Drosophila melanogaster: one gene and its partner. The protein of the gene in region 1 interacts with the protein of each later gene in a pairwise test. Each region holds a gene or a part of one and is shown on either strand. Other genes may lie near its edges.

Region 1 (17,407 bases):
ATTCAACAGTTCCGCGAGATCTTCACCGAGGAGGGACGTAAGGCGGTCAAAATCACGCATTTGATACCCGGGCATATGCCAATTGTGACTCACACGGGATTGACGAATGAGCAGCGGATCCTCTTGCAGCAGCAACAACAGCAGCAGCAGCGTCAAGCTCAAATGCAGCAGCAACAACAACAGCAGCAGCAGCAAGTCGTTGTTGTTGCCAATCAGCAGCAACAATCGCAACAACAACAGCAGACACAACAAGCGGGACAGCAGTTATCCGCCACAGTGCATCATGTTGCACTGCCGCGACAACAAATAACTCAAAAGACTCTCAATTTGGCTGGAAGTAATGTAATCAATGTACAACAAAACTTTCGGCAACAATCAGCGCAGCAGCAGCAGCCGCAAACATACACAATTGAGGCACCGCAGCAGCAAGCTGCAGCACAGATTGTCCCGCAACAACAGCAGCAGCAGCAGCAGCAACAACAACAACACATACATCTTCAGCAGTTGGCCACCGGCAGCAGCAATACCTCCACAACAACGCACCAAGTTAGCCTCAGCAATGGTTCCCTGGTCCTTGTGCAACAGCAGCAGCCACAGCAGCAATCGCAACAGCTGGCACAGGCGCTGCAACATTCGGGCATAACCATCCAGCCCGCCACCATTCAACAGCAGCAACAGCAGGTGAAGGGCACTTCCGTGGTGGGGGCCAATTCAGCGCTGCGTGCCCAGCTCAACTCAAATGTGCCAATACTGGTTAGTAGAACATGGTCAATTAAGCATTGCTAGTTTGTCAATAACTTTATGTACTCTCCTATTCCGCAGCAAACGCAGCTGAAAGTGCAGCAGCAACAGATTATGCAGAAGCAACAGCAACAACAGACAACTGCCACTAGTAACAACAACAACAACAATAATAACAATAACAATATGAACAACAATACGGCCATACATCCGAATCCTGCAATAAACGCCATAGTCAACAGCATTATGAACTCTGCCAACCAGTACCAGCAACAACAGCAGCAGCAACACCAGCAGCAGCATCAGCAGCAAAGTAAGTTCGGTGGGAATCTTCGATGGGAAATATGCTAAATAACAATACAAAATTGTCTTACAGCGGGGAACACGTCGAGCAACAATAATGCTGCAGGGTCAGGCGGCAGCACCAACAACAACGGAAGTAGCACCAGTGCCACAACCCTCAAGAACTCCAGCAATGCGTCAATTTTAAACCTGCTCAACAGTGCTCCAGCTGCGATGACCAGCACACCCGTGGCCAGTGGAACGTTCACCACCTCCACCGGCCAGCAGCAACCGCAGACGCTGACGCTTGTGCAGCACCAGCAACAGTCGACGCCAAACACTGCCGATGCGGCCACCGCTACGTATGTGCAGACCACCCGTGGCACACCCACGCTGGTGAGTACGCAGCGGAAGCAGCAGTCCAGCGAAGTGTTGCAAAATCTGTTGAACGCCAATCGAAAGATTGGTGGCGGAGGCACCACAACGACAACTTTTCGAACAAACTCCGCGGGCAATTTGATAGCGGTCAACCTCAACCAAGCCGGCCAGTCGCATCACCAACAGACAGGCGACGGCAGCCAGACGGTTAGAGTGTCCATGTCGGCGCTTGCCTCGCAGTTGGCCTCGCCGCCCGCAGTGATGACAAACCCCACCACCAGCTACACAGTGATCTCGTCGGGCAACAGTGCCGCGGCGGCGGCAGCATGGATTCAGAGCCCAACGGGCCCAGTTCAGCAGCGCATTCTGAGCTCCCTGAGAAGAGATAGCACCACAGCGCCGCCCAACGCAATTGTGGTGGGCATGGCCGCTCCTTCTCCAGGTAGCGATTCGAACGCCTCGAATGCCAGTGGCTTTGCTGTGCCAAACAATCTAGCGTCCACTTCAAGTGGTGGTGGCGGCGGTGGTGGAGCCCTGTCCGCCTTGCTGACCAACGCAGCAACTCCCTCGCCATCGGGCTCGGATCACTCGCAGTCGTCGCAGACGCACCAAAACCAAGCCCTGCTGGAGCGCCTAAGCAATGTCACATCAAACGTATCCGCCGTTTCCATGCCGCACATGTCACCGCAACAGCCGCAGCCAACGCAGCAGTTCATCACGAAAACCATCGTTCACTCTCCCGCCACATCTTCGATACACTCGCCCATGTCTAGTCCGCATCCGCAGCCCTCTGCCTCGCCGCAGCAGCAACAACAGCAGCAGCAGCAACAGACCACCGCCACTTTGAATCTGCAGGGCATCAATCTGTCTCAACTGCAGGGCGCTATGGCTAACTTTGCCGGCCTGCAGAATGTCCAGGTGCAGATCCCCGGCTTCACACAGCCCATTTCGCTGCAGTTCTCCGGTAACAGTTTGCAGCAACAACAGTCGGGTAATACGGCTACTGGTGCGGGCACAGCGCAGGGCCAACAGAGAAGTGTCCTGGTCTCGGTTCCAGTCTCCAGCCAACAACAGCAACTGCCACACACCATAACGCTGCAGACTCAGTCGGCGCCGCACCACCAGCAGCAGCATCAGCAGACTCAGCAGCAACATGCCCCACCAACGGGCACCATTGTGAGCCTGCCATCGTCGGGACCTGGCACACAGACGGTCGTCATTACGAATAACTCCGGCGGAGGAGTGACGGCGGGAAGCAGCACCAGTGGCAGTGCGGGCGGCGGTGGAGGATCAGGGGCCACAACGGCCATGCTCACCCTTCCCATTGGTGAGTATAAGAGAAATGCGTTCCTGGTGCAGAGGCCGCTTGCTAAGAATGCTGCACTGTCGTTTCGGCCAGGCCGAAGAGATATTTGTGACTCTGGATCTGGCTTCTTGGTGGGAATCTTTATTTTATAATCGGACCATATTATTTATACGTAACTCTTTTCTTTTAATTGAACATGCTTAATTTTGTTCTTTTCTGTTTCTGTTTCGTTTCTCGTTTACAACATCATACAACACAAACCCGTTAACATCTCGTTTCGATCCCTCATGCAACTAAACTAATCCAATCCGATTTGTGTGTCTTGTGTGTCCTAACCCGAAATGCCATCAGTTTGAGATTAGAGGGTCCATTATGTATAGCCGCAACCGTACTGTACGTACTGGTTTGGCGACCAAGTTGGCGGCTCCCCGACCTCTGACCTTCAACATTTCTCATTGCAACCTAAAACAACAACCAAAAAAAATCTCCCCGCACACCCACGTTCTGCTCTCTCTCTGCTTACAGCTCAAATAGTCGGTGCCGGTGTACAGAAACTAAATCCTCAAACAATACGTACCTCAAATGTTGGTGGTGGTATAGGTATCGCCCAGCAAACGGTCCAGCAGCAGACGATTCAGTCGCAGTCGGGCGGCAACAGCACCGCGGCCATCCAGCTGCTGGGCACCATACAGCCGCGTGCCCGCAACGTCCAGGTGGTGGGCACCAAGCAATTGGCCAACAGGCAGCTCATCACCACCCAGCGGCAGATAGGTGGCTCCACGCTTAAGATCGCCACCACACCCGTGAACGGTTAGTAGAAATCCATTCATTTCTGTCGACTATTACAAGCGCATATGTTTTTCCCACTGTTAGCTGCCAATGTGGTGACCAGCAGCGCCAACCTAACCACCACTCCGATTGTGATGTCCGCACAGAAGCTGCAATTGAAAACGGTGAAGGCGCCCGTGCAACAGCAGCAACAGCCTCAGCAACAGCAACAGCAGCTGCAGCAACAGCACCGAATACTCAACCAGCAGAGCACGGCCACGGTGTCGTCGCAAACACTGCCCAGTCCCAACCAAGTGCAGGTGGCCCAGCAGCAGCAGCAGCAGCAACAGCAGCTGCAGCACATTCAGATCGCCGGTAGGGCCACCACCGCTTCGGGAGCCATCAGTCAAAGGACTCTAACAGCTCTGGCGGCTGCGAAGCAGCAGCAGCAGCAACAACAGGCTGCGGTCAATCGACGGCGCTCCACCACCGATGCGACCAAGTAAGGGATGTGAATTGCCTGGAACTGAGACGACTATTGGGACGACTGAGAGATGAAGCTATAGAGCGAACAAGTAGAAGGCTACGCGTTGTGTATTGCTTGATATTATAGTTTATGGTTACCTCCTAACTATCACTACTATCGTACATTGTATACCCATATAACTATATATGTTTTGATGTGTAATCGTAAGTGTAAATTGCATGGGCAACAGCATGGCAGCTCATAGTTGTGCAACCTAGTTAGGAGCTGGAATTGGAGCCGAAACACAATCGGTCTGGCCCGGCTCCACCGACTGCGCTTGTGTTAATTGTGTACCCCCCCCCCCCCCCCGGCAAAAACGAATTAGGTGTAGAGGTCTTAATAATATTTATCTAGTTGTATATACGCATATATATTACATATATATTATATATATATATGGAAATTGTTTCAATATGTCCCGCGCCCAATGGCCATTTAAACTACTACTATTTGGCTCCCGACTCCAATTCGTTAAGTCCTAAGACTAATTCTTTAAGCGTGCTAATTTTAAGCTGTAAATCAGGGGAGGGGAGGAGTCGACGGTAACAAAAGGAAAGCAATAATATGAGGAGAAAAATCAAGAGAAACGTAAAAATTAATTGTAAAGAAATTCTAATTATTACGATTACGTTTAGCTGCGAGAGCATATGAACCGGGGTAGGGGTTCATTTAAGCAATTACAAATATTCATATTGTACTATTAAAATTATTATTGCTAATTATTTAATCGATTGCTTAGCTTAAGTTCACAAACGAAGATAAAACACACACATTTTAGTTTGTAATGTACAATTCGTAGCCTCAACCAATTTAGTACTTCCAATTGCAGATACATTAAAAACGAAGAGCAAAACAAAATATACAAAAGTCAAAACTTATTTAAACAATTTATTTGTAATAGCTCAATGTACAATGAAACTAGAGACAGGAGCAGCTGAATGAGCTTGGACGATGGAAAAGTTGCCAACTCGAGTCGAGTAATGTGTAAAAGTGTCGCTTTCGACAAAGCATATTTGTTTTTCACCTAAGCCAGTTTTTTTGTAGATGGACATTATTTATTTAAGTAACGATTTTATTATGTTACTACCGCCTAGAGTGCTGTACTTGTTTATCATTGTTTGATTCAGCTGCGCAGCACTTAAAGTAAACCTCTGCATAAACCTCTTCAGCCAGCAAGAAATAAAACACAAATTAACCTCACCACTACCCGTACTCCCTACCGTATCCAACACACACTCAAGCATAAACTACTCAATGTTAATATTAATTAATAAATGTGATTTAAGATGAATAAACGAAAATGAAAGCATGGTACTACGTAAACCGAATGAATGATTGAAAGCATAACGAAGTGGGAAAATGTTACTCAAGCAATTGGCCAAAATCCTGAGTACGAAAGTTATATACATACATGCGCGGTAATGTGGCCTGATCAAATGGTTATTGAAACGTAATTCAAAGATTTATTAATGTAATGCGGAGCAATCTAAGCAGCAGCATAATATATTTATATATATGTAAACACGAAAACCACTATTAATATAAATGTGTAATTTCAATTCAATAACTGCTTATCAAAATACCTGACTGTAGAAACTTTTCATTAAACTGATTACGAATAAAACTCTTGAGAATACTAAACAAAAATGAAAATAATCACGACAAAACCAAAATAACTTAATGAAGCGCCGACAAAGTCAAAGCAGAAGCTCCGTTAATCAATAAAGTGTGAAATGAAATTAAGAACTCAGTCTTGTCATTGCGATGGAACTGAAAATGGTAAGGACCTTTAAAGGATATTCACTTTCTACTCAAAACTCCTGCTTTAAATAAAAAGTCAAATATCTTTATTAACCATAACAACAAGCACACATTCACATTGAAATTAGTCCCGGCCTAGCAGAAGATTTGGATAGAACCGCAGTCCCTCTACGGACTCGTCGCGACACACCTTGCCCAAACGTTCGGCCACTAGCAATCGCTCCTTGGCCAGCAGGAGTGAAATTCCCAGCTGCTTGGCCAGTTCCTCCACAGCCAGAGACTCGGCAGCCTCCACCTTCTCCAATGTGTCAACGGCAATTAGGGCATCATCGTGGGACTCCAGTTGTAGCACTCTAGCGCCACTGGGAAAGCTGCGCAGGCGTATTGGACCACTAAGCTGCTCGCAGGCGTGCAGCAAGTCCTCAGGCGATAGCAGTTCCAGACCACGAGCGCGGTTTACACGACAGTAGACATCAGCCAAGGACATCATGCCACCTTGCTCCTAAGGGGTAATAAAGTAAGTGTCAATACAAAGTATAACTTTTTAATACAGTTCCTACCTCGATAGGATCCAGCAGCATTTCGCAAATCTGTCGGGCCAGGCTACTGAAGTAGGCAGAATTGCTGGTAAAGTTGTCCCGCGTGACGGGATCATCGATGCCCAGGCTCATGAGGTAGGATTTGAAACGCACCGTTTCATCGTCAGATATTTCTCCCTTCTGTTTGCGTATCTTGCTGCTTATTGTCTTGGACACTCCTACCATGTCCTTGGCCATGGCCATTAGAACACTGAGATCCTGAAAGGCAAGTGCTATGTTCTCATCCGTGGCCTTGGCTTTTGCCTCCAAATGCCGTTCGATGCCCCCAATTCCTGTCCTCTTCTGAATGCGGGCCAGCCTGTCGTTGGCAGGCTCCAAGGTTGGACTGCTGGCCACGCCATTGATGATGATCTCGCTGGTCAAGAGGATTTCCCAGACGCGGGCATTTAGAGTCTCCCGCAAGGCACTGTGGAACTCGACACTCAGGCCATTCTTGCCCGACAGTTTGATGTGGGTGGCGCGACTGGTGTCCAGTGGGCCGGGTCCTTTGTCCGACGTTGGAGGATGCAGATGCATGATTATGCGAGTCTTGCGGCCAAAGAAGTTAGAGGCAGTAGTCTCTTCGCTGACGGATATCACATAGCTGAGTGGCAGGCAAAGTGTTACGGCGGCCCGGGCAATCTCTCCAGGGCGACCCCAAAACAGTCGGTGTGTGGTGAGCACCACTTCGCCGTCTTCAAAGTCCGTCTGAAAGGATTTGAGTCTAATAAAGACCCGGTTTCGTATTGTGCGAATTCACTAGCTGCTCACCTTTTGGTCGCCATCGTATATTTTTACCCTGTTGTCGCGGCTGACGAAGGATTCATTGGGACTCAGACGGGCCTCCACATAAGCGAAGCGATTCATTTCAGATATTTGTTATTTTATCCTTAATATTTGTTTTGTTGTGGCTCTGGCTGGAGATGACACATCTTTCGTGACTCCACCGTTCCACCTGCTTATTAGTGATGGTATCTTTTTTGTACAGTAGATATCGGGTATGGAAAACCAAATATAGCTGTACACATCTAGATATATTGCATACTTTGTCCCCAAAAAATGTAATTAAAATGTGTTTAGGCATTTTTATACGTTACTTAAAATTAATTTTGTTTTAAAATTTGTTTTGTAGACTTTAGACCATCTAGCAAACTATCGGATGTTGCTCCTACACACAATTCTGCGTTCGCTGACTATCGATAAGTGGCTGGGCTGGTGTGCGAGAAGAAGAAGCAGAACGGTGCAGCAGCTTCTATTTTCGTGATAGTTTTCCCCAATTAGTGCTGAAATTAATAACCATAAATGCCATTTTCCCCTAAACCAGTGCAAAATGACGTGCCCTGCCTGACCTGCTTACATAACAATGCACTAGTCGCGCAATAAGCACACCACACATCGATCACCCGGGATTAGCGAGACTTTGATTTGGACTTCATGGCGACTGTGGCGGAGGGCAGCAAAATGCTCGAGGCAGCATTACAGCAAATGGACGGCCTTATATCGAGTACCGCGACACAGGCGGGATCCGTTTCTATATCCGGAGCAGGGTCTTCCCTGACACTCAGCGAACGCAACTTAATTTCGGCCACTAATGTTTTGTCAACAGCTAAGACTTTGGCTCTCGCCCTGCAACAGGTGAGTCACACTGACTATGATAAGGTCTAGAAACGGAGGGCTTACACTTACGCTTATCACTTTAGGTCGGACTGGCTGCTCCAGCACCGGATCCTGTCACGGCGGCCATTATCAGCGACTGGCTGGAGACGCACATACCTCGTCAGGATTCCGACGAGCGTATGCGTCGCCTGCAACGGGATAAGGAGGGCTTAGCCCTGCAGTATCAGATGCTGGCGGAACGAGTGTCAGAACAAGCGGACAAGATTATCGAGCTGGAGGGTCTGATAACGGAAAAGAGCCAGCAGTTGTGTACCAAGGAAGAGCAACTGCAACGACAGATGATTTCTAGTTCCGCCCTCGAGACGCAAAAGCTGGAGCTAATGAGTGCCTTAAGTGAACTAAAACTGCACCGTACTGCATTAGAGCAGGCTAACGATGGAGGTAGCGCCATTTCCGCCAATATTCCTTACGGCAGTTTGAGCAACATTAATCAGAAGGCCTTTATGGGATCGCCCAAGACACCGCCCTCTGCACTGCGGCACCAAATCAAACCGCAGTTCCACAGCCTGCCAAGATCGCATGGCAAGTTTGTGAACAACAATAACAATCGTGCCTTAGACGTCAATGCCAACAGCAGCGGCAAGCAGCGAAACGTGGCCTTTGCTTCGAACGAACACATTTTGATTGATGACAATCATCATCAAGCGGAGGATGCAATGACTTCCAGCTTTATGTCGCAGTTTACACCCTCACCAAAGCTGAGGGAAAGATCTGCCCGTGGCTTGCGCAACATACTTGGTAAGCTACGACGCAGCAACAGCAGCAACTGCGAGCTGACCGCCTTGGAGCAGGCAGAGCCCGAGTTTCGACGAGGAGGAGCCCGAGCTACGGCAGGCGGTCGAATTGAGTGGAGTGCTCAGACTCCGTTGTTCGGTGAGAATGAAAAACATTGGACAACCTGGGGAGCGCAGGAGGTGTGCAATTGGTTGGCATACATGGGTCTAGGCTGCTATGAGGACAATTGCCGGTAAGTTTTGTCATCAAAATCCAAGAAGAACCCAGTTACTAAATACAATTTCCGCCTACAGAAAGTGGTTGAATGCCAATCCATCAGTGTCGTTCTTCACCGCCTCGCCTGTCGACATCGAACGAGAGCTAAACCTAAAGATGCCACTTCATCGGAAAAAAATCTTGTTGGCCATCGACGACCTAACTGGGAAGGAGTTTGATGACCTGACACTGAAGGCATCCAGCTTGGATGTGACATGGGTTCTACGCTGGCTGGATGACATCGGCTTGCCACAGTATAAAGATTACTTTATGCAGGCCAAGATTGACGGTCGAATGCTGCATCGTCTCACCCTCGAGGACCTCTCCCAATTGCACGTCAGCTCTTGTTTGCACATAGCCTCCTTGCGAGCGGGAATCTTATGCATGCGCCGCTTATCGTGGAACGCGGAAGGTCTAATTCGACGCTCCATTAAAGTTGTCAGTGAAGATGAAGCCGCAGCCACTCCCGACAGAGACAATGTGGAGCTGTGGACAGCGCATCGCATTATGGGATGGCTGCAGACCATCGACCTGTCTGAATACACGCCCAATCTGCGTGGTGCTGGTGTCCACGGGGCTCTGATGCTTTATGAACCGCGTTTCAATGCTGACTTGCTTGCCGACCTGCTGTCGATACCACCGAGCAAGTCCCTGCTGCGTCGCCACCTGGCCATGCACTTTAAGGAGCTAGTCGGTCGGCCAGTGATCTTGAGTAAGCGAGATGCCGAATCGGCACCCGGGTACCAACCGCTAAGCATTACAGCTAAGCTGAAGCCGGTGAAACGCACACAGTTTTCGTTAAAGCGTCGCAAGAGCTCGAAGAGCCAGAGTGACGTAGACTGGACGGAGTACGTGTGTCCCATGAATGCCAGTGTGCCGGAGACATATCTAGCTGATACGGCTAAGGAGCATGAGAGCTCCATGAGTTCGAACTAAAGACGAAGTCGAAAGGAGCACAAATCGATTGAAAGCAAATATGTTTTTTAGTTGTAAGCCCAAAACCTGGCCAAGGATCCCCAAACTGAATGAACTGCCACCTGAACCAATTATGCAACCAAATCCACAAAATTGACAATATTAGTGAGAATTTATCTTATCAAGGCCACGCCCAAACTTCCAAACATCTTTCGAATGAATTCGAGTCAAAATTCTTTCGTCGACCTAAGCATACCAGCAAACATTTTGGAAATTTTTATATTATCTGTAACTAACATTTAGGCTAATCTGGAAACGGGATGTAATGACATCTTCTAAATAAGCATATAACGATGATAACAAGAAGTATTCGCAATGGCATTGAAACGACCTTGAGAGCGAGCATAACCCCTATAGACTTATCGCCCATTTTGGAGTTTATCTTTTGTACTAACACATAACTGTATTGACGGATATTTTGTAAAATACATACTACGATGCCTTTTACAACCAAACAATATACATTTGCATATGGTTAAACATTGAGTTTATTTGTTAACAATAACATTTTATTAGGCACTAAAAAAACTGATGAACGACTAGGAAGCGTGGCTGAGGATCATTGATCGCGTTGTTGGACAGCCCGCATGGACGGAATCGGCATGGGTTGCTGTTCTCCACCCTCAACTGGCAACCGCAACCGAAGCTGGGCCGGCCATTAGCTGATCTTAAACTTAAATCTTTGGCAGTGCTGTGTGTGGATGTTTCCTGAATGTCCTGGCCGCAGCTCTATGTCGTCTGGTTGGCGGTTTGGGTTTCCAGATTTGGCAGCCTATCCTCCCGCGAGGCATTTTGGTGCTTGGCCAGATCGCTCTCGGGTATGTGATCCTTCCAGTTGCGGAAAAGGTAGCGCGTGAACTTCTTTAGCTGTCTAAATTTGCAATAGGTAGCACCTTCGGCGGATTGAAGCTGCTGGGTTTGGATGAGAAAGCCTTTCTCTTTGAAGGTTTTCTCCAGCTTTTCGCGCTGCTTTGATCGCTTGGAGGATCTTCGCTTACGTTCGCTCTCTGATGAGGACTTACTTTGCGTGTGACCGGGACACACTGCTCCGGGCATGGGACTCTGGGAGCTGGAGCACTGGGAGGCTGGACTATGGGGCGCTACGGCGGCCACCAGATGGTTGCTGCTGGGCAGGAGCAGCGTTGAGGTGGGTGACTCCGGTGATATGTGCAGCAACTCTGGGCTGAGGTCTGTCGATGGAGCTGGAATATCCACGTAGAGCTTCTCCTGTGCCGGCTGCTGGTGTTGCTGCAACTGCTGCTGCTGATCCCGGGAGATGAACTCGTAGCCTCGCATGGTCTTGTCTCCTGTGCCGTTGTAATACCGGTAATTGCCCTCCGCGTCCACCGAGAGCATCTTTTTCTCCTGCAGCGTGGGCTTGGCACCACCGGTGAACTTAAACTTGCAGATGCTCACTTCGTTCGAGGGACTCGACGAATGCTCGGCGGGCATGGGCGGGATAAAGATTGCTGACCGCTTTCGTTTCCGCATGGCCAGGGGCGTGGTCTCATTGGCAAAGAATCCGCTTGGTATCGGAATCTTAAGAGATAGCTGGTTGTCCTTCTCGATGGTCTCCAAGGGCACAGGCAAACCTCCCAGGCTGCAGGACTCGACGAGCTGCTGATAGTACAGTCCAACTGGTTGGAGAAGCAACTTGGCTGCTGTCATAGGCTGTTCCTCCGTCCCTGCCAGCTCCAAGGTCAGAGGTTTTACCGTACTAAGTGGAGTGGTCCGATGCGAGGAGCTGCCGCAATCTGTCGTAGCTGTGGTCGTATTTGGTGTAGTTCGCGGCTTCTCACTGTCGCCGCTGGATATTGAGTAGCGATCGCCGCTCTGGTCACGCAGGCAGAGATTCAGCGGCTCCTCAGGTGGCACCGCAATCGTGGAGGTAGACGGCGGCGGAGCAGCACTGACCGGCATCGCGGGCACAGATGCCGGGACAATGGTGCCGTAGTTCTTGTAGATCAGGTGACAAATATCCGCCTTCTTGGGCTTCCGACCACGACGTGGCTTGTAGTTGTCCAGCGTAATCTCACCCATGTACGGCAGGTCTGCGTATTTTAGGGAGTTCCGCTTGGAGGCAGTTGTTACCTCGGAATTTTTTGTTGGTACCACGGACGTCGCTGCGATGGGTGAAGATCGCGAAGTTGGTGCTCCAACTCGAGGAGCGGCAGACTGCTTTTGTTGCTGGCGTTCGGCATTGCGCTGGATCTCGGCAATCTTCCGCAGCCAACTGCGTACATTCTCGTGAGCCTGACTCGGCGGAGGAGCTGGCGGTGGTAGCACTGGTCTTGGTTGCTGGCGACCCTGCGTGGCCTCGTAATGGGCGGCATACTCGGCGGGCAGAGCTTGGTGGTGAAAGCGAAGCTTCATGGCTCCCGCATCGCCTCGCTTACGTGATCGCTGTTGACCCTGGCTGTGCACTGGCCTAACTGTCTTTTGTGGTAGAGCAGTGTGTGGCTGCTCCTGCGCTGGCTGTCGGTTCGCCTTCCGGCTGCCCATCAGCAGATTGGCCTTCAGCTGCTGCTTGGTCAGTGGACTGCAGGTGCCATTGTGTGGGGTTTCGTGGCCGGCACTTTTGCGGGCCAGTAGCGTCTTGAAGGGATGGTCTTCGTCGTGGGCATCGTTGGTGGCGCCATGCGAGATCAATGGGTCGTCGGAGCCCTGCAGCAGCAGACGGGTGCTGTTCAGATCCAGACGGAGTTGTGGGTGCTCGGGCGTGGGCAGCCAGCACTCCAAGTCGGGATCGTGCTCCAGCTTTATGCTGGGTAGGAGCTGGTCCAGATTGTTGGTAGCCGGACCCAACTCTCCCTTGTCTGCGTTTCCGTTAAGATCGCAGATCCTAGTAAGTTCTTGCATGCTGATCTTGATTTCGGCTAAAAAAAAGTAAGAGAAAGATAGTTTTATTATTATTTATATAATCTTCCAATTTATATGCTTTTAAATTAATATAAAACTTTTCATATTTACATCACTTATTACAAAGACTTGTTTTCATACAGTTTCGAAATTCAAACTAGACAACACATTGCGTATACGAACCATTGACTGGCATAGACGGTAATAAAAGGAAATAGTGTAATGTTCCAAACGCTTACCGGAAAATACTATGGAAAACACATCTAAACTAAGCTGTAATTTTAACCGTAGTAAGTTAAAAGTAAATATGAAATGGTGGTATACGTTGCGTATACGCGATGTGAGAGACACGAAAAACACGTTGTGTTGTTATTTTGATGCTCGCCGGCAGAGGAACACATTCACGGAGACGCAGGAGGAGGAGGAGGGTGCTCAATCTCTGTTTCTCTCTCGATCGGTGGCCAGCACGGGAATTCTATTTAAATGTCCAAGAGGAACTGGCAAGTGGCGCTCTCTCAGGCGAAACACACACAAACGCACAACGATTTTTGCCCCGAAACCGAAATGTTGTTTTTGTGCATGAAATTCGATTCCCTGGGCGAAAAGCATGCCCATAAAAGGTCTAAAGGCCCGGCCTGAATGGATGGCGAAGGGTATTTGCTGTATCCACATACATAGAATAACGATTACTAATCGAGAACTATCATATTTACCTTGCTATTCTATCGTTTGTACGTTTAAGGTGCCCTGGAAAAATGAATATCTTCTGTTCCGGTTCCCTCGCCGGTTCAGTCTTGGCTCAAGCTGTCCTAGTAATGCCGGGTGATTGAGATCACCTTCAAATCGCCACGGTCCACAGTTCACTTCACGCTGCCAGTGGCAGTTGGTCGACGGGAATCGACGCTGTGCGCGTGCACATCGTGTTGACATCCAAAACGCAACTAGTTGCGGGAAAGCCGAGTCGCGGAAAGCATCGCTTCTTCGGAATATGCTCCTTAGATGGACCGCCGCGGAGAGCACGCCCCACACACAATAGAGGGAAATAGGAAAATAGCGCGGACGGTCGGGCAAGTGAAAATCAAATCAAATTCCGCCGCTCTTCGAAGATGCGGAGATGCGTTGTCGCTGCTCGACACCGATGGTTGTCGTGGTCCGTATTTAACGCCAAAGACGAAGCTATTTCGTGTGTGTTCATTTTTAGAAAAATCCAACTTGTTGCCGGCCATATAGAAGACCCCTCACCACTCGGCCAGGTCCACAACGCTACGCAGAATGCGGCAGCCAAAATGAAGCAAGAAATTCTGCCCAAAAAAAAAACGAATTTTATTTTTCGCTGTTTTTCATTCATGGGCTGCCTGTGCGCCAACTTGTTTATTGTATCAACGGATCAGGGTGAAAACAAATTGCTTTCGTTTCAGCTTCTCCCGCAGCCGAGCAGAGGTAGTGGACTAACGAGGGTATCCCCAGTTCGATCAGCAACCCCTTGTTTTTTATAGCTCTCTTTCCTAGCAGCTACGCGTATATGCGCGATCGCATTTTATTTATAGCACCTGGCTACTTCGGGTTAGGGCAACTAAGAATCGCCTGCGCCTCTTTCGGATTATGATTTTTCGGGTAAGGTAGTGAAAGGAAAATAAGTGAAATGAAAAACACCTCCCGAAATAGACAACGGATCGAGGCGGATCCTCTATTTTGGGCAGCGCACATGGCAAAGTAGGTCAACTCCGTTTCTAACTGGAGTGGGTGCACAGAGAGAAATTAGAGTAAGAAATAAAATAATGCTGAGATTGGCATTTCGTGAGAGTAATTAAAATAAAAAAGAAAATCACCCTGATAAAATTAAATTAATTTAATGGAAAAGCAAAGCAAAAAAAATTGTAAAATCTTTTTTTAACACCAAAAACTGGAATATATGTTTAATATTAAGCCTTCAAAAAGTATTGAAAACAAACGTAATTTATAATAAAGTACAGACAATTGTCTCATCACACTCACATTCAAGTTCTAAACATGATTGATGTGAAATGACACGGTATGGTTTTTTATATTAATTATTAAATGGGATTATTACATACAGATAAGTATGACGGCACTGTGGGTGGGTGGTTTGCGTTTGGTTTATTTAAAATAAATTGTTTATGTCATGATTTGCAAACTGAATGCTAGTAACTCAGTGATATTCGGTCATGGTCCGATCACTAATTACTTTCTCCACTGCGCAAAATAAGGGAAGAAAACCGACGAAACTCGGATCATCAGAATGCAAAGCACAATGCACAAGTCACTATCCAAATGCGAATAGACGCCTTAAGGGGCAGCGTTCTTCAAGTTACTCATTTGGCAGTCCCAAGACGATTAGACCCCTTATTGAACAGATCACTCAATCATAATAATAATAATACCTACCCGCTTTTAGCTGGAAAGAATCTTTTCTCGACCGTTTCGCATCGCGTGCAAGATCGAACTTCGCAGAGATCACTGTGCAGTCGATGATGATGACGCTGTACCGCTGGCAGTGGGTGGGCGAGTTTTTCGCGACCTGCAGAAGCTTTACATTCTACAGTTGGTTAGACGGCGGTTAGACGGCAGTCGGCGGTAATTGGCAACCCAGAACCGGAGCTTACATCACCATCAGATCGGCCAGCGGCGGCGGAGTCCAACCTACGGATGCAGAGCGGAGTGGAGCTCTTGAGTATTGCACATCTATTCGGCAGTTGCGAGTCTGCAGCAGCTGCTGCTGGTGTTTTTCCCACTGCTATCTGCTAGCATGTTTATCGAGCGACACTGACAGTCAATATCTGCTTGCGCGAACGAACATATTTGTATTTATGGCCATAACTGCCACTTCAATCGCCCACGCGCGCTTTGTTAACGTGGCTTGAAGCAAGTGAACAACCATGTCATTTGCGAATTCTATAGACCAAGTCTTTTGTCTGGCCTTGCCTCAAGTTCACACGATATCGACAAGTATTCCCCTGGGATTAACTCACTTCACTTGAGTCATAATTTTCGCATGAAAATTTGAATTTCCTATGTTTACTAGCCGCCGACAAAACGCGAGCCAATATGCAAATGCTTGACTTGAATTGGCGAACTGCCGCTCGATTCGCGATTTCCATTCAAATCAGATTCGTTTTCGTTCTGTTGGCCAATTCGGCCAGGTGGCTTATATTTTTTAAGCCAGAATTGCCATATCGCTGGATTCGGAATTCAGAATTAAGAGAGAGAGAGAGAGAAACAATGGGGCTGAATGATATTTTTATGGTAAAAGTTTATTATTTGCAACTTTATTTTTTAGTTTCTTTTTTGTGTTTTTGTTTTCATGTTTAAATGTCTATAAAGTATATATAATATATATTTCTGCATTTTTTGTGGTTTGTGTTTTTTTTGTTAATTTTTTTTTTTAGTTTTTCATAATTTTTTTTTTGCTTTGTTTTGTTTTATTTAACTTGCCAGTTGTTCTTTGTTTATATACCTATTACACATTTGCATAAGTTTTTGTGTATAATAATTATTATTAATAATAATTTAATTGTTGTAATTATAACCATGGTTTATAATCTCCTCCGACTCTCTATATCCAATTTCCTGCTTCGCGTTTACTATATGTCCCCGCCTCCATATCATCAATGCGCTTATGTCGCCCCATCAGCGACGCCCAGTTTTTAATTTTATTTTCAGTTTTATTTTAATTTTTATATTTTTGTGTTTTTTGGCAAACGAAACAAAATGTACACTGCTTGCCCATATTTTGAAACTGGCAATAATTAATTAATACTAGGGTGGTTGATATTTCTGTTATTACGATTTATACCTCCATCTCATTTTATTGTTAGCCTTTCGCCGCACTCTGGATCTAACTAATCTGCCTTTGCTCCTTCCTACTGTTTGGTTATGGTTGGATCAGTGTGCTCCGGATTATGGGAGATCTTAGGTCTTGAAGCAGATTGATCGTAAATGAACCTGTTTGGGTGTCTAGGATGGTGGCGGCATCTTTAATCGATCGGTAGTTATTGTTACTGTAGTATGTACTCATCTATTATTATGCTGGGTTTATTTATGTTGTATCCTGCAGTAAGTCGCATAAATAATGTTTAAAATATACTTCTGTTAATAATGCTTTAAGTATTAAAATATTTATAGTTTTGTCCATAATTAATTAATAGTTTTCTTGTTCGATAGCATTTACTTGTGTTGTGGGCTTTCAACCGATTTCCGCGTGACAATGCATCGCGGAAAAGGCCGATTGAGTATATATAGATATATATCTGTATTGTTTTTTCGGTGTTTACTTTCATCCTTTTGTTTTAATGAACGAATGCACAATTTTACACACTTCGCCATTCTGGTTTCATTATTCATAGATTGTATTTAATGTACACATATGTATAGTATATAGCGTATATTTCTATAAATAGTTATTTGCCTTTTTGTTGCTATTATATAAATGATTTACTTAATTGTTCTTCACTTCTGCTCCACTTTGTTTTTCGATCAACTACTTTTGACTATTACATCATTACATCATCGTCCCCGTTAGTTCGGCATTCTATGTGTGTAAATATA
Region 2 (15,206 bases), on another chromosome or scaffold:
TGTGTGTTTGGCTGGTTTCCCAGTTGACTGCTTCACCTGGCTTCATATTTAAACCCCTCACACTCCAAGAAAAATCTCTCGAACCACATTTGTCTGCCGGATGGGAGATTTTTACTTTTTGCTCTAATTTGTCAACAGAAACAGTTGACGTTAGACTCAATGCAGCCACCAGCCCGCATAATGCCAGGCATTTTGGTGTCATTGTTAAGAAGCAGTCACACAGTTGAACTCACACTCACACACCCACACATGCACTGACTAATACACACAAAAAGAGAGAGAGAGAGAGAAAGCCATTTGCCAGCCTCGCTGCAATGTCATTGTCATTTTGGCCAGGAGCTGGTGAAAGGTTTTTCATTTGACAAATGCTGATTAAGCGGCCGGCTGGGCTGAAAAATATTTTCTCATGAGTGCTCCCCTCCAAGTTGGCGAACTGGGTGTTGGTTTTGGGTCTGGTTTTTGTGTTCTGTGAGCGGATTGGTTGCAATCCGAGCGAGCAAGTCATGTGTGTGCACTTTAGATGCAATCAAGTCAAGCCACGGGGATCCGGCAGATGTTCCCAATATGTTTTCAACATTATCCAGATTGCCAAGGCTAACGCCGCAGTTCGTCGCTGCCGTGCGACGAGTGTTCGGCGAGATTGAAAAGTCAACATGGCCGAAGGTGACAACAAAGCCAAATAAATGGACATGACACGCATATTTAATACCAGAGACTGCCTAGCTGCACTGAGAAAAAGTTAAGATCAATTTGAATGTAAGAGAATCCAGTTCGTGATGTATATATGGATATCCTTGTTTCAGTATTGGTTATAATCATCAAGTATTTACTTATTGAGCCAACTTTTCTCGCAGTGTACCACCCCCTATTTCAGTCGCGCGTGGCCTATGTCACATTTCGGCTGATAGGATCGACTGAAAAGCCAAGGGGTGGCGAACTGCTGGGCCAGACTGCTTGTTATGATATTTGTGTTGCCTTTTTCTTGATTTTATTGTGTGAATATGTGGCACATTATTCATGATTAGGTTGAGGCCGTTTGCTCGTCGTTTTGTGTGCCCACGATTGTGCGTGTGAGTGTATGGTGTTTACCCACTTTGATTGGCTGACAAGGTGGTGGTGAGCGGGTAAGGCAAGCAGCAGTCCCGAAAGTCCTGCCCCAAGGATGCCTGGCAAGGTGCCCTACCCATTCATCAGAGTGGTAATTAGTCGAACGAGATTCGCTGTCGGGCTGCATCCCGGAGCAGAAAACCGGCGCTAATGAGGCCAATAACTCAATTGCGGCCAAATAAAGTGCCCGAAACGAAGGCCACACAAATCTCGGAAGTTTAAAAGCGTTTACACACCATTTAAATCAAAATTAATGCCACCTGAAACAGGAAGTTCCCCTTTCGAGAAGCCATGCCATCGCATCCACTAGTTGTATTAGCCAGCATCATTTCCTTTTAATGACGGCGCGCTTCGTATAAACTTTTTAATTACAAACTTCAATTACAATTAACGAGCGCAAAGGCTGGGCCAAAAAAAAACAAAACGAAAAAAAAATAGTAGAAAATCTCTACTTATCTTGGTATTGTTTTGTTTTGTCCGAGCCAGCGTTTGCATAATTGGCCCGCCAAGGAGCGAATTCTATGGAACTTCCTTGGCCATCCGTGGATAATTAAGAATAATAATTACCTAACAGGCTGCAGTTTCTACCCGCCTGCTGTCTTGGCCATCATTTATGCGCTGCCGACTCGAACATCTTTGGGCCAAGGATAATGGTAATGCAAATGCAGTGCACAACTAATTGCCAATCGATATCTCACAATTATGTGGTAATCCACTCAAGAGAAGGCATTAAATTTAAATTGAAGCGAAAAGAGAGCAGATCCTGGCTCTAACTTTATGTGTGCCCCCCAAGTTTTCGCCGCTATTTGTTCTGCTCGAGTTGGAAACACATCTCGGCAATTGGACTGCGTTGCCAACTTTGTTTCACTTTCCCACTCGCGGCTTCTAATTTCGCTTTTTTTTTGTTTTGTTTTTTTTTTTGCCCCATCTGCCCCCCATCTGCTGTTGACAAAATAAAAACTTTTCAATTTGACTTCTTGTTTGTCGAAATGCGAAAGTTGTGCATGAATAAGAAAGGACCTGACAGAAATGAAGGTGGATTGGTCATGTGATGGTTCAAGGGAAATTTAAATTTCAGCCCGGATTGAGCAACTCAAATTCAGAAATCATTAAACAAGTGAGCCGTTGTGCCAAAGGTGACTGCGATGTGTCCTAATGGCAGGCAATTCAATTATACTATTGTTCCAGAGTTCCTTTCAGTGCTTTTTGCCTGCCACTCCATTTGCTGCAAACAATTTTCAATTTCCAATTTCCATCTGCAACGTACTCGCTGCGATGTGTCGGCCAGCAACAATATCCAACGGCGGGGCTATTCAATTTCGTCAAACACCAGGCAATAAATTGTCATAACACACACGGGCCCAAGTCCTTTTGTCCTTCAGTCCTCTGGTGTGGCACGGCGGCCCTTCGGCAGCATTCTGTGATTCAAAAGGATATGCGGCGCATATGTGTATGCGAAAGTCAATCAATGCGAGGGCTCCCAAATATAATGGAGCCCTGCATTATCCTTTCCGGCCACCGCTATCGAACAGGCCACAATGTGTGACAGTATCTTTGCATGTCTTACTGACATTTAACATTTGCGTTTCGTGTTTCGTACTCGCTTCGCGGTGAGTCCTGTTTGCAGTTGCAAAATACACCCAACGCTAGATACTCCCAATTTTTATTCGTCCTTTTTTTTTCGGTCCTAGCAAATAGACAATCAGCGCGACGGGCGGTCCAAATTGAAACACAAGCAATGACTGCAGCTCACTACAGTGCAGTGTGTCGTTGTCATACAAGTTTTAGATTGCGTGCACATGTCCCTGGCAACCCATCCGGATAGCAAATTGAAATTTTTTCCACCGATCACAAAACAAAACAGCTCAATAAAAAGTGTCAAATTGGGCAGCCAGCCGACCACCACCCCCACCCGGCCCATCGGCCTCTCAAAGTCAAACTTCAGCAATTGGCTCTTGCTCTCCTCGAATGGCCTCAATGGGCACAAAGCAAATCCATCAATCAGTCCAAAGAGTGTGGCAATCTTTTAACTACTCATTTATGCGACTTAAGTGCACTCGAGTCCTGGCTTTTTATCGGCTGCACTGTTGTGAGCTGCGATTAATTGGCCGAGTTTCGCTTGTCGACGGTGAATGCCGTAACAATAAGTTGCGATACACTGCGATTGGCAGGGAGTAAGTGGTACAATCAGGCAGTACTCTCTGAAAAGGATTAATTCGTGGTATAAAAGTTATGACATGGAACTAGTCTCCAGTAATAGCTCGTATCTGAAATGTGATTATTGAAATTAATTGCATTGTCATGAACTAAAATTCATCTACTGAAATTAATCAAAGGATCAAGTCTATACTAATCGAACTTCAAGTGAAATATTTATAATTATTTTACTTATTCCATTTTCAAAGCAATAAGAGTGTGTTAATTGCTATATTGGGTGAATAGAAGAGTCTAATAAATCAACATTTGACTACCACAAGCATAAAAATAATTATGCTTTAGTAATTAATCGTTTATTCGCTGATAGCTTAGGCATTATCGAAATTAGTTGTGATTTATTGTGTTCAATGTTGTGGGAATAATGTGATGAATGCAAAATGCTGTGAGTACATTAAATATACTGTCTAATAATATACAAAATATGCATTAAATATTATCACCAATAATATTTCTGATTGAAATATGAAAACTGTACCAATTGCACTAACAGTAATAAAACCCATCGCCATTTTCCATATGCGTAATCCTCTTTAAAGAAAATAGTTGGGGCATATAGCCTGGTGTTCTGCGGATCGAGTACAACAATAACTTTGGCAAATACGCAGGCCAGCAGGCAACTTCAGTTGGACCTCCATTGTGCGAGTGTGTGTGTGTGTGTGATTGTTTGCTGGCCAATGGACCGACGTGACGTATACGTAATATTTCATTTCATTTGTACAACGCACATACATACGCTCATACAGCGGGCAGTGCGTGTGTGTGTGTGTATGTTTGCACTGCGCTCACCGTTGGCCTGGCAATGAAGGACACACATACCCATACGCAGAGGGATCCTGCACACTACACTATATGGTTTATACATACATATACGTGTGGAGAAAAGGATGGATAGGGGCTGGAGGAGCGACTTCGGCGACGCGTACACGTGCCTACATCGTTTGCACAAAGGTTCAACACCGTTATTTATTTAATTGCATTCAATTTGCGGTTAATTGTTAAACAATGGCCAACAATGACTGTGCTCAGCCTTTGACTGAGTTCGTTCGTTTTGCATTATGGGCGGCCGAGCGGGCCAGAATGAGGGGGCGTGGCGCCGTGGTAGCTTGGCCAGTTGGCCGAGTGTGTCGAGTGCGCTGAGTGTGTTTGTTATGCAAACAAGTACAAGTGCGGTTTTAATTGAACTCAAGTGAGGCTGAGCTCTGAATGGCCGCTCGATTTTTACATGAATGCGGGCAAGTGTGAAGTGGAGAGAAAGCGAAGAGAAAGTGGGATGAAAACTTGCGTGGCGCGGCCTAATGAGAGGGGTCGGTCCAAATATTTGCACAAATAAAATGTAATTAGCTTTTAAGCCAGCCAACAGGCAGTTTAAACAGTACAGGGCGGCCATAAAGCACACCAATTTGTTTGCGCCAGTCCAAATATCTATGTCCATACATATATATCTGATTTTATGGCCCAGCTGCAGTGACAAATTGCAGGACAAACTGCCTTTGGAAAAAAGTAAAATAAATAACAATCGGCTGCCGGTTCATGGCCATCCAGCCACTGCGAAAGTGCGCTTATTACCATTTACCGCATGGCAGCGAAATTAGCGGGCATAAACCGAAACCATTGTTATCGCACCGCCGCCGCCGACCATCAACATTTGCATGCGAATTGGAAATAGAGTAACTGCGGACTCCATTGGGCCCTAATCGGTCAAGTGTGGGCGGGCGGCGGCAGCGGCAGTTAGCATCCAATTAAAATGCGGCTAAAGTGCATCAATGTAAATACTGCAGATCCTGCGTCCTGCCCACTGCCGTGTGCACATTCAAAATTCAAACAAAAACCATAATCGCTTTGGCAGGGATTACAACACACAGGAACATGCTATGGATCCAGCTTTCGATTGCGATTCCCATTCCGATTTCGATGCACCATGCTCCTGGCCAAAAGCGACCTACTGGCTGAGATTTCCGTAGGGCCGACCGACTGACCATCCAAATCCGTATCGATTCACCCCGCCGCCTCCTGCGGTCGTGTGCAACATGCGAATTATTTTTACGTTTATCGCAAATTCAATTCAATTGCGATAATAATAAAATTTATTCGCAGCAATTTGTTTCTCTGTTTGCTAAGCGAGAATTCAGCAATATAGTGGCTGGCCGACAGCGAATTATAATCATGTGCTTGACTGGCTCGGCTTGGCTAAAATTGAAATTATATAATCACATACACCAGTGGCCATACAAGTATGCACACCGATTCCATCACAAGTATGGCTGCCATTTGAATGGCCAACAAAGGGGCTCTTTATCAAGGGTATAGACAAAAAAAAGCTTCTAGTCTGTGGGCCAATGTCACTAGCACCCAAATATGTCCCATTAAGGGCACCTCAACACGTGTCCTTCTTTTTCAATGGAAGGAACCTTGAAGGCGACCACTTATTGTCGTCAAAAGGACAAAATGACACGTTTTGAAGGCACATACTATTTATTTTATGTACACACACACAGATTTTATTACAGCTACAACTACAACTCATTTTCTAAAATAACGACAATAATTACATTAAATTATTGTGATTAAATGAAGTTGAATTTACATTAACTTATTCTATGTTCAAAATGAACTTTCAAATAATATTTGCAAACTTTTAATCATAGGATACCGGCAAGTCTAAACCTTCATTTTGTGCCACCAATATACTGTGTGTTTATCGTTTTGTGTACCTCTAAGCATCTTTTTTTATGTTTTATGCCGCCCGCTGGCTATTTGTGCGCCAAATGCATTTGTATCGATATGCCGCTCATATAAAATAAATTTAATAGATACTTGTGAAATCGCCAGTGCAAATAGTGCTGCGATGCAGCAGTTCTGTGTTGGGGAAGTTGCAGCACAGTGGAATGCCGCCGCTAAAACAAACATCCGAGTCATCAGCCGGAAATGGGATACACGCTCGGTCCTTGTCTGGCCTTCCTTCCGTACTTGCCAGCTCCTCCTCTGACCTCTCAACCCAGAAACTTGAATCCTGATCCCCAATACCAACAGATTCGCTATGGCAATAAATCCCCCAAGGAAGTGGGTGGCACAATAGCAGAAAAACTCATGAAGTGGCAAAGAGTTGCGATTGTGTAAACAAATATATTAGGAAGAAGTCAGAGGTGTAGATGGAAAGGGGCTCTTAAATTGAAATCATTCGATGAAAATAAAATATAGTTATAGCTTTAAGTATTTCCCAGAAGTAGCTTATGTTTTACTTGTTTTAAAGCAAAACTTTAATTGGGTTTCCTTTTGGCCATGCTGCATGCCACGTAGAGAAACGAATGTTTATAGCACTAATTTTATTTGTTAAACTAACAAAAGCAGCAGCAACGACGACGAGCTGGGCAAATAAATGTGTCTCAGAAACGATTGAGCGCACAGAGACAGTCATATAAACAGAGGGACATAAAACTCATACGACATGTGGGCCGGCAGGCACTTGGCAATGCGTGAGCGTGAGAACATGGCACTTCATTCACGCCCCGGAAATGCCCCACCCACTAGCTACGTACCATCCAGCTCTTTCTCCAGTGTAAAACTCCGTACGGACAGCAGTTGAACCGAAAGCCAAAGACAAAGAGGAGCCGAAACAAAAAGCCCGGTCTACAGTTGCGCCTGCCGAACAATTTATACGACTATTTGAAGTTGGAGGACTGAGTAAATGCTGCCTAAGTGTGCGTAAATCTATAAGGACACCCAGTCGTCCCAGTCGTCAGGACCTACGGAGGAGCTGGAGAACCCATCGAAGGATTTCGGCTGTCTCCATTGTCACCCGGCCACCACTCGTTCTTTCTCCCAACCTCCAAAGTGTTAACACATCGTTGCCATCCCCCCAACATCCCGAACTCGTCACGATTTCGTCCCGTTCTCCAGTTTGTTTTTATGTTGTAAACCATTTTCATTTGTTTTTCGTCGCTCTCCACTCCTTTTGCGTCTTGGGCGATTGAGATATTCCCTTCTGTTTGACTTCAAAATTGATAGTTTTAGCCAGATTATGATCTGTTTATTGTGCAAAGTGCTGTGAACCGGGGATTGGGCGGCAATTAAGTCGCCTTGTGCGGCGAATGTGAATGTAAAATGTGTTTCCGTTGATAGCTGAGATAGAGGCGCCGTTTAGGCGTTGTCCTTCGTGTTTGATCGACTGATAGATAGAGTGGCAATGTCCTTAACTTAATTTACTCCTGAGAAGAAAGACAGGAAGATAGGGAGCCACCTCAAGCAGCGTGAACAACAAGAACTGAACTTATTTCCGGCGGAAGTATCAGTATTCGGCAATTTCCGGCCTGCCCTTGGCTTTCATTCTTTGCTCCCTCGCTACGAAACTTTCGCCGGCAATAAATGTTAATACATATTAAGCGATATCCCATCCAGTCAATGAGTGGACCAAGTTCGAACTTCGGCACGTCCATGCCGAATCAATTTATCGAGTCAAAGTGTAATTAATGCCACTGCGGCAGGACAATCGGCCAGAACTAGACTCAACTACTCGGCGCATCCGTCGAATTGCCGGAATGGCTCAATTGTCAGACTCCATAGCACTTCCATTAGCCGCTGCCTTCATTAGGGCCTGGCCATAATCATCATCATCAATAATCTGGCTCTGAAAACACATCACAAATTAATTTTGACAGCTCTTGCCAGCTATTAATATCAATTATTCAAATAGTTCGGCAACCAGCTGACGAACTTCAAGGCAATGCCCCCCACATTACCAATAAGCTGATTCATTACTGTCCGTTGGTTATGTCATCAGAGTGCTCCTTTTGTTACTTTTTCGCCTATCGAAGATGCAGACGCTTTGTTTTCAATAATGAGCAACATCTGATGCGTTTAAAATGTTGGCCATGTTCTTTGGTAGCCTAGGTTTGCTCTCAAAGACTTGTGGCTCTAGGGCCCAGACGATAGCAATGTTCACAAAAGTATAACATTGCACCAGAAGGCTCTTTGTATATACCATAATATGCCATAAAGGATGCAGAGAAACTAAATGATTTAGAACAGAAAGCAAGACCATACTTGCTGTGGGTTGTGTTTCCTACATTTGTCAAAGAGCATTTCAAACAAACTCTTATCAATTGAATCCACTTAAAGAACAATTTACAAATCACTCGCTTATTGACATTATCATTGAAAATTCGTTTCGATTTTCAATCGTGCTTCCTGCCCCGTTCATTTTCTATGATACCAAAATAGCAGATTGGTTGACCCTCCGCTTTTCACATGGCAGCTCAAAATTATGCGTGCACATGTATGAAATACCGAATTGACTAATATTTATTTATACAATTTTGCGGTTCACAGAATGCAGATAATTCAATTCCAGTGTCAAATTTGCCAAAATGTGCGTGTGGCTGGCTCAGCCCACCGCTCACCTCAAATGCAATTCAATTTGGCGATAAACCAATTTAAAGCCGACCAAAAATGAACGAAAAACTGTATGGAATTAAATGTACACATACTCACACTCGCATATTCCACTGTGTGTGTGTGTGTGTGTGGATGCGGGTAGTCTGTTTATCTCTCAGTCGCGGCTTCGGGGTCAGAGGTTATCGAGTGGCGACCGTCGACCGAAGCTTTGGAAACCGTGCAAACTGTTGGTAGTCGAACGTCTATCGCAGTGCCAACAAGTCGGCGATGAAGCGGTTTCTTGTGGCCTTATTGGCCGCTCTGCTGGTAGCCGCCGTCCAGGGCGGAATTCTGGGCAGAATTTTCCACAGGGAGTCCACCTCCACAACAACCAGCACAACTACGACGACCACAGAGGAGCCCCGCCGACCCTTCTACATCAACAACAATATTCCCGAAATCCCGAAGGACTGTGTGGCGCAGTTCAAGTGCAAAAAGAAGCTGGCGAATGTTCAGGCTCCAAAACCGTGTGTGAAATACTGCCTGCACAGGATCACCTGTCCCAATAACCAGACCAGTCCCGTTCAGCCCAACCAGTGTGTCGATCTCGACGAGCAACAGGTGCTGGCCGTCCACGAGGCAAACACGGAGCCTCCGGTCGCCGGCCAAACCACCACCGAGAAGACCATGATGGTGGCCATGATCGACTTCCCCTGCCAGCCCGGCTATCTGCCCGACCATCGTGGTCGCTGTCGGGAAATCTGGTGATTCGATGGCTTCGTGACACGTGTTTACTGCATAATTATACCTGTGGAATTTTCGTTTTTATATACATGCCTGCTCCCAATAATCACAATAAAACCCAAACGAACGGCTTTTGCCCAAAGATCGAACACAGTGAACAATTTGATAAGTGTTTCGGGTGTAAATACCACCAATCTGCCAGTCACAACAAATGGCTGCGGTTTGTGACTAGTGATTGTGTTATCAGTGAGTTGAAAACATTTCAAATCAAACTGGTATTTTCATATATACTAGTGAAAAAAGTGTGGACTCAAAACAATGCACTCGCTGTTGGCAAGAATAAAAAGAGTTTTGGCCATTTTTAAAATAATAAATAAATAGATAAATAATTAACAACTTACATGCCCTAACTCTATTTCGTTTGCTGTTTAGACCAGCTGCTTATAACCTCTAGAAATAAATTAAAATTTCTTTAATTGTTTTTTGAACATATTTTTGTAAGTGCATTCTCCGCCGTGAGTGGTCACTGTTCGGGAATAATACTTTTGCTGTCCCGACACGCCAAGTGTCAAACACACCTCCTTTGGTTGGTTGGGAATCGGTGGACTCAGACATGAGTGGCGGAATTAGGGACTGAATGAAGTGGGGGTGGGGGGGCTTACCTCCAAATGGGCGGGGCACTGGGCGGAGTCGTGGCAGTCAACAATTTTGTCTAATTACAACGGGAGAAACGAGCAGCCAGCGACAAGCCATAAAAAATATGCCATTTGCACGAAAATAACTGTGATGTGCTGTGACCTGTAGCCCCCGCCATTGATAGCCTCCAGCAAACAGGATAAGGAGGACGAGGTCCTGGATTGAAGGAGGAGTTGCCGAAAAAGCCAAAGCCACAGATATAGCTAACAAATGGCTTAATTCCAGCCAGCAGCTTGAATGCTCGGAATGCCGAGCGATAAAAAGTACATGTATTAAAATTAACAAAACAACAAGACGCAGACAAGAGACGCCTTCTTTTTTGGCCCATTTGGATGGGTGAAGGTGGTGGATTTGTGTAGGTTTTGAAGCCTACTTCCATCACGTGATTGACGCACATTTCGAGCCCAGAGAATACAACTGCTAATTCGACGCACCCAACTATGGGGATCAAGGAGGAGGATTTGGAATGGGGCTGGTGGAAATTTTATGTGTCTTCGTCATGTTAATTGTTTTCCTTTGTTCGTGGGCATTGTGGACTGCTTTTTGCCGCCACAACCATTGCTTTAGCTTTAGCTTTTGCTTTGTTGTAAGCCATAATTTGCGCGCTTATAACTCAAAAGTTTCGCCGTCAAGCCAAACGCAACTAACTTTATTAACTGAAGGAGCGCGCGCCTTAGCCAGGTTTTGACTTCATTTGTGCCCCATTCTTTTTGTTTTCTTGATTTCCGTTTCCGAGCGTCGGTTTAGCAGGAGGACGCAACTTTCTTTGGCTTGTTTTTATGGTAATCGGCGCATAACAAAAACCACACCACCACCACAACAACGCACCACACCGCCCCACCCACCTGTGTGTCTTGGTGGTACGGTTGGCGGTGGCATGGTATTTGGAAATTAAACTGCGCATAGTCCTTAAAATTTTATAACTTAATTTCTCTTGGTCTGGCATTTTTGTGAACTTTTTGATTTGATTTCGTTTGGCACTCGCACAACTCCTTTTTCGCCATATCGGTTGGCTGTCTGTGGGTGGTTGGTTTGGATTGGATTGGCTTGGTTTGGATTTGGGTGGCTTTTCAGGTGGCTTTCTGGGTGGGTAAGGCAGTGACGTGCCTGGCGTTCTTTTCCAGCCCGGAATTCGGCATGCGAATTAGAATAATAAACTGTTGGAATTTATTTGGCGCAGGAAAATGCTTTGGCTGCGCTGATAAGGTTGATCTATGGCCGGTGGCATTTCAATGGCCGCGATAAGAGCAATGAGTTTTGAAGGATTATGCCGGTGGCAGCATAATTGATGTGATGCGAACATAACTCAATTGTGGCGTAATTGCGGCCCTCGAATCTGGCTTTTCCGCCAGTTACGCACTCCATTATTTGTATAGCCCTTAGCCGGCCAACCGATGCTCTATCCCACTGGCATTTTACCCTAGTTATACAAACGTAAAAATGCCAGCTTTTGCAGCTGCTTTCATTATGCTAATTGCACGGACATCAACTGCGGAAACAATGCAACTAATAACAGAAAGCAGGGGCAATCGGTGCAGCAAAAGAGCGGAAAAGCGAACAGGTATATACATAGGTACACAGGTTGGCAGGTACGGAGGTGAACTAGGGAAGAAACCAAAGAATTTTCATTAAAATTTTCATTTAGTTGCGCAATTATTTTTGTGCAGCCATTTTAATAACACTAATTTACCTTCAATTCCCAACTCTTTTTCGAGTCACACAAAGGCCACCGATGATGAAAGAGATGGTGAATCGCATGGTGAATGCGAATGCGAAAGAGACGGGGACATACGGTTATAAATATGCGCAGCTGCAGGATAATAAAAATGATAAGTTTTTCTCTCTCTCTCTTTCACTTTCTGTCGTTTTTGCCGTCTTTTAATTTCATTCCTTTCAGCATTCACTCAACCGGCCACAGCTGAAGCTCAGCTATTACACTGGGAAAAATGTAGATACTTCTTTAAATTTATATAATTTATACCATTGAGACTCAACTACAATTGTGTCATGGAATATGCTATCCGAGAATCATATCCTTTGAGAGAATATTTGTTTGATCGGTTTTAGAAGCATAGTTGGTTCGATAAATTCCAAAAAATATTCTACATTTCCCTCACTGCTTCGATTCGAAATTGGTCACAATTTGGGGAAAAAAATTTTCTCTTTTTTCCCGGTACCATCGGTTGTCATGCGACCGCAGCAGCAGCAACTAGAACCAAAAGCTTCAAAGGCGGCCAGAACATCAAGTTCATTCTAAGCCGTTTGCATTGCAAATTCTGCATCGCCTGGCGAAAAAGGGGGACAACTCGATGCTGGTTGGCCCCACAATCACTTTTCAATTAAATGGCATTCTTTCCTCTTTGCCATTATTTTGTGTTTTTTTTTTGCTTTAGCCATGGCTCTAGCTTTTTCAACCAGCTCGGAGCCAAATGATTCTGCCACAAAAGCAAAAGGCGTTAAAATGCGTTAAGGGGTGAAAAAGGGGAAAAAGGGGACAACTCTGCTTTGAAAATAACGATATCAATTTGGGTCCATTTATTTACTTGACCAACTCGACGAGTGAACGCCTTAATCGGCCTCTATTCGCATTAACATTCTGTTCAATTGTCAATCATTAATACGGATTGTCATCGACATGTCACAAAAACTCGCAACAGATTGACACGAAGTACCATTTAAATCCACCCAAATTAATTATAAAACCAATTAGCAAGGGCTCGGTGCTCGGGATTAACACAGATCCTGTCATAATTAGGTGCCGAAAAGCTTTTCTTATTTGCAGCGACAGGAAAAACAATAAAATCCCAGTCGGCCAAGTTGCCCATTTGGGGGCATTAGTCCTGCGGGATTAGGGCCAAACTTTGTTAATTCGCCGAAATTTAAGGGCCCGGCCCCGTACAAGTAAGCAAATAACTGGGAATTTCCGAACCATAAAAAAAGGTGCGCTTCGCATCGAATTGGGAATGAATTGAAAAAAATTTGAAACCTTCGAGCAAAATATGTTGCTAACTTTTCGCATTTACTTTTATTTGAACAGCGTAATACCTAAGTACACGTAAGTATAAGTACGAATGAAATGGCTACATAAGTACGGCATGGATTAAAAGTTTCGGCTCCAGATCAACCTGAAGCTATGTCCCCTTCGAGGAATTGGTGCTGCCCAGCGTGGGGGCGATGGGCGTGGTTGGAGAGTCAACCGCCTCCACTGCATCTCCATGTTTGAGCCAATATGGCGCCAACCGCAGCATGAGAATGGCGCCCAGCGGGGCGGTGAATATAATCGCCAGCACCGAGATGATGAGCAAATTCCCGGCCAGCGCAAGCTGTTCCGGACTGGCCACGCTGGCAGCACGTGCCATGTCCAAAGCCACTGGACCCAAGGCGGCCTAAGGGGAAAAGAGAGACAGAGAGAGAGGGTTAGCTGGGGCTCATATTAAGCAGCGGCCACCGCTGCGTATGAGTGATATGTGATTTGCAGCGGGGTCAGATTAAATGCAGTTTGCTGTGCAATTTTAATTAAATCAGTACGAAAAAGGTGGACACTGAAATATGCACCGCATATTAGGGCAAAGTTAGACGGACGCACACATGTGACCGCCGTCCTGGTTTTTTTTTTTGGTTGTCTTCCTCTGGATTTTTTGGACGAAGTAAGTAAGCCAGCGTAACATTTAAATTTCTGTAAACCACAGACGCACACTCGCCTGCTCAGGCGACATAAACAAAATGTTCGCTTGCGGTTAAACTGCAAACAAAAGGCTGGCATGCCAACTGCAGCCGCAGGAGCAGGAGCATGAGCAGGTCCTGCGATGACTCTGACTCTGACTCTGTCTCTGGCCAAGAGAACATGACCTGCAAATACGTGTATAACTTAAGCATGGGGAAAACACCAGGCCAGAACAACCAGAGCGGCCAGGACGACCAGGACAAGCAGGACAACCAGGACGATGGTCAGTCTGCTCGTGGCAAGCGAGTGAAATGGCCGGCAATGAAATAAAAAGCGCCACCAGGCCGGGAGACAACGAATGGAAAATGGGAAATGAAAACGGGCTGGTAGGGTAAAAGGGGACTCGGATTGGGAATGGGGAATGGGAATGGGAACCGCAGCAACATGACACGCGGAACGGGAAACTTACTTGGACAGTTGCTTTGGGAAAACCGGAAATTGTAATGTAGGCACGTTCCTTTCTCGACAGATTTCCGCCATATGTGGATAAATATGCAAAAGCCAGGCGAAACTGAAAACAAGAACAAGAAAGTGGTCATCTCTAGATGTTTTTCTCCCTCCGTTTCTTTTTTTTTGCATTTTCTGTGTGCTTGCAGGTAACATTTGCATTGCGGTCCCGGAACATTTTCATTTCAGTTCACCCACCACACCCAACCGGAATCTCCACTTGGTCGCCATTCCGACCAGAATGGATATGAATGGATGGGGTGCCCAACACCGCGGGGACCGTGCAGTATTCCCCGCACCAACTGGTCGGAGGGCCAGAAAGAAATTAAATAAGTGGCCGGAGCAAGCATTTGTTGCACCACCAGCCACGCCTCCAGCGACCATTTTAATTACCAAACTTCCGACGAGCACCAACAATGCGCCATAACCGATTACATGGCCCTGCAGCACGTTGAAATTAATTTCCTTGCCAATGAGCGCAAACGAGACGGGCTTGAGGAACTTCCACATGAGGTCCAGTCGCTTGGGCACACTCGCCTGCAAGGAGAATCAATAGGTTGTTATTAGATCGTGGCCCAATTCATTATGTTTTCTAAAAGCTAAAAGACGTCCATCCCTACTTCCCGGGAAAGCAAGCCAATCGGCTTACAAGGCGCTTCCTCGGAACTCAAGACTCAAGTGCAAGTGCGGAGTGAAAAAAGACCTCCCTGGACAGCAACTGGGTTAAAAGTTTAAGGCAAAGGTAAATGAAAGGAGGATGTTAAAAACAAGGATGCAAAAAACACATGCTCGAAACAAATCGAGAGCCGGCAGTCAACTCTGACATGGGACAAGGACGTGATGTCACAAATTACCTAGCAGAAATCCCGAACATACAGGCGCTTTTTACAGCTGCAGCGGT

What was found.
Region 2: the proteins of Liprin-beta (region 1) and Gbp3 interact in a two-hybrid assay, tested with the Drosophila melanogaster proteins (one large-scale study listed by BioGRID).

The regions. Positions count from the first base shown.
Region 1 is NT_037436.4:13,505,818-13,523,224, forward strand, and holds Liprin-beta (Liprin-beta), read left to right. Parts: upstream 1-7,436; 5' UTR 7,437-7,580; exon of another isoform or gene 7,581-7,664; 5' UTR 7,665-7,774; coding exon 7,775-7,975; intron 7,976-8,040; coding exon 8,041-8,984; intron 8,985-9,045; coding exon 9,046-9,943; 3' UTR 9,944-10,459; downstream 10,460-17,407. Other genes in the region: Spt20, read left to right, coding at 1-753, 823-1,054, 1,118-2,728, 3,233-3,517, 3,581-3,981; Vps36 (vacuolar protein sorting 36), read right to left, coding at 5,887-6,264, 6,323-7,048, 7,112-7,207; CG10710 (uncharacterized protein), read right to left, coding at 10,712-12,841.
Region 2 is NT_033777.3:22,968,326-22,983,531, forward strand, and holds Gbp3 (Growth-blocking peptide 3), read left to right. Parts: upstream 1-8,944; 5' UTR 8,945-8,982; coding exon 8,983-9,462; 3' UTR 9,463-9,839; downstream 9,840-15,206. Other genes in the region: Nha2 (Na[+]/H[+] hydrogen antiporter 2), read right to left, coding at 13,266-13,520, 14,268-14,369, 14,699-14,842.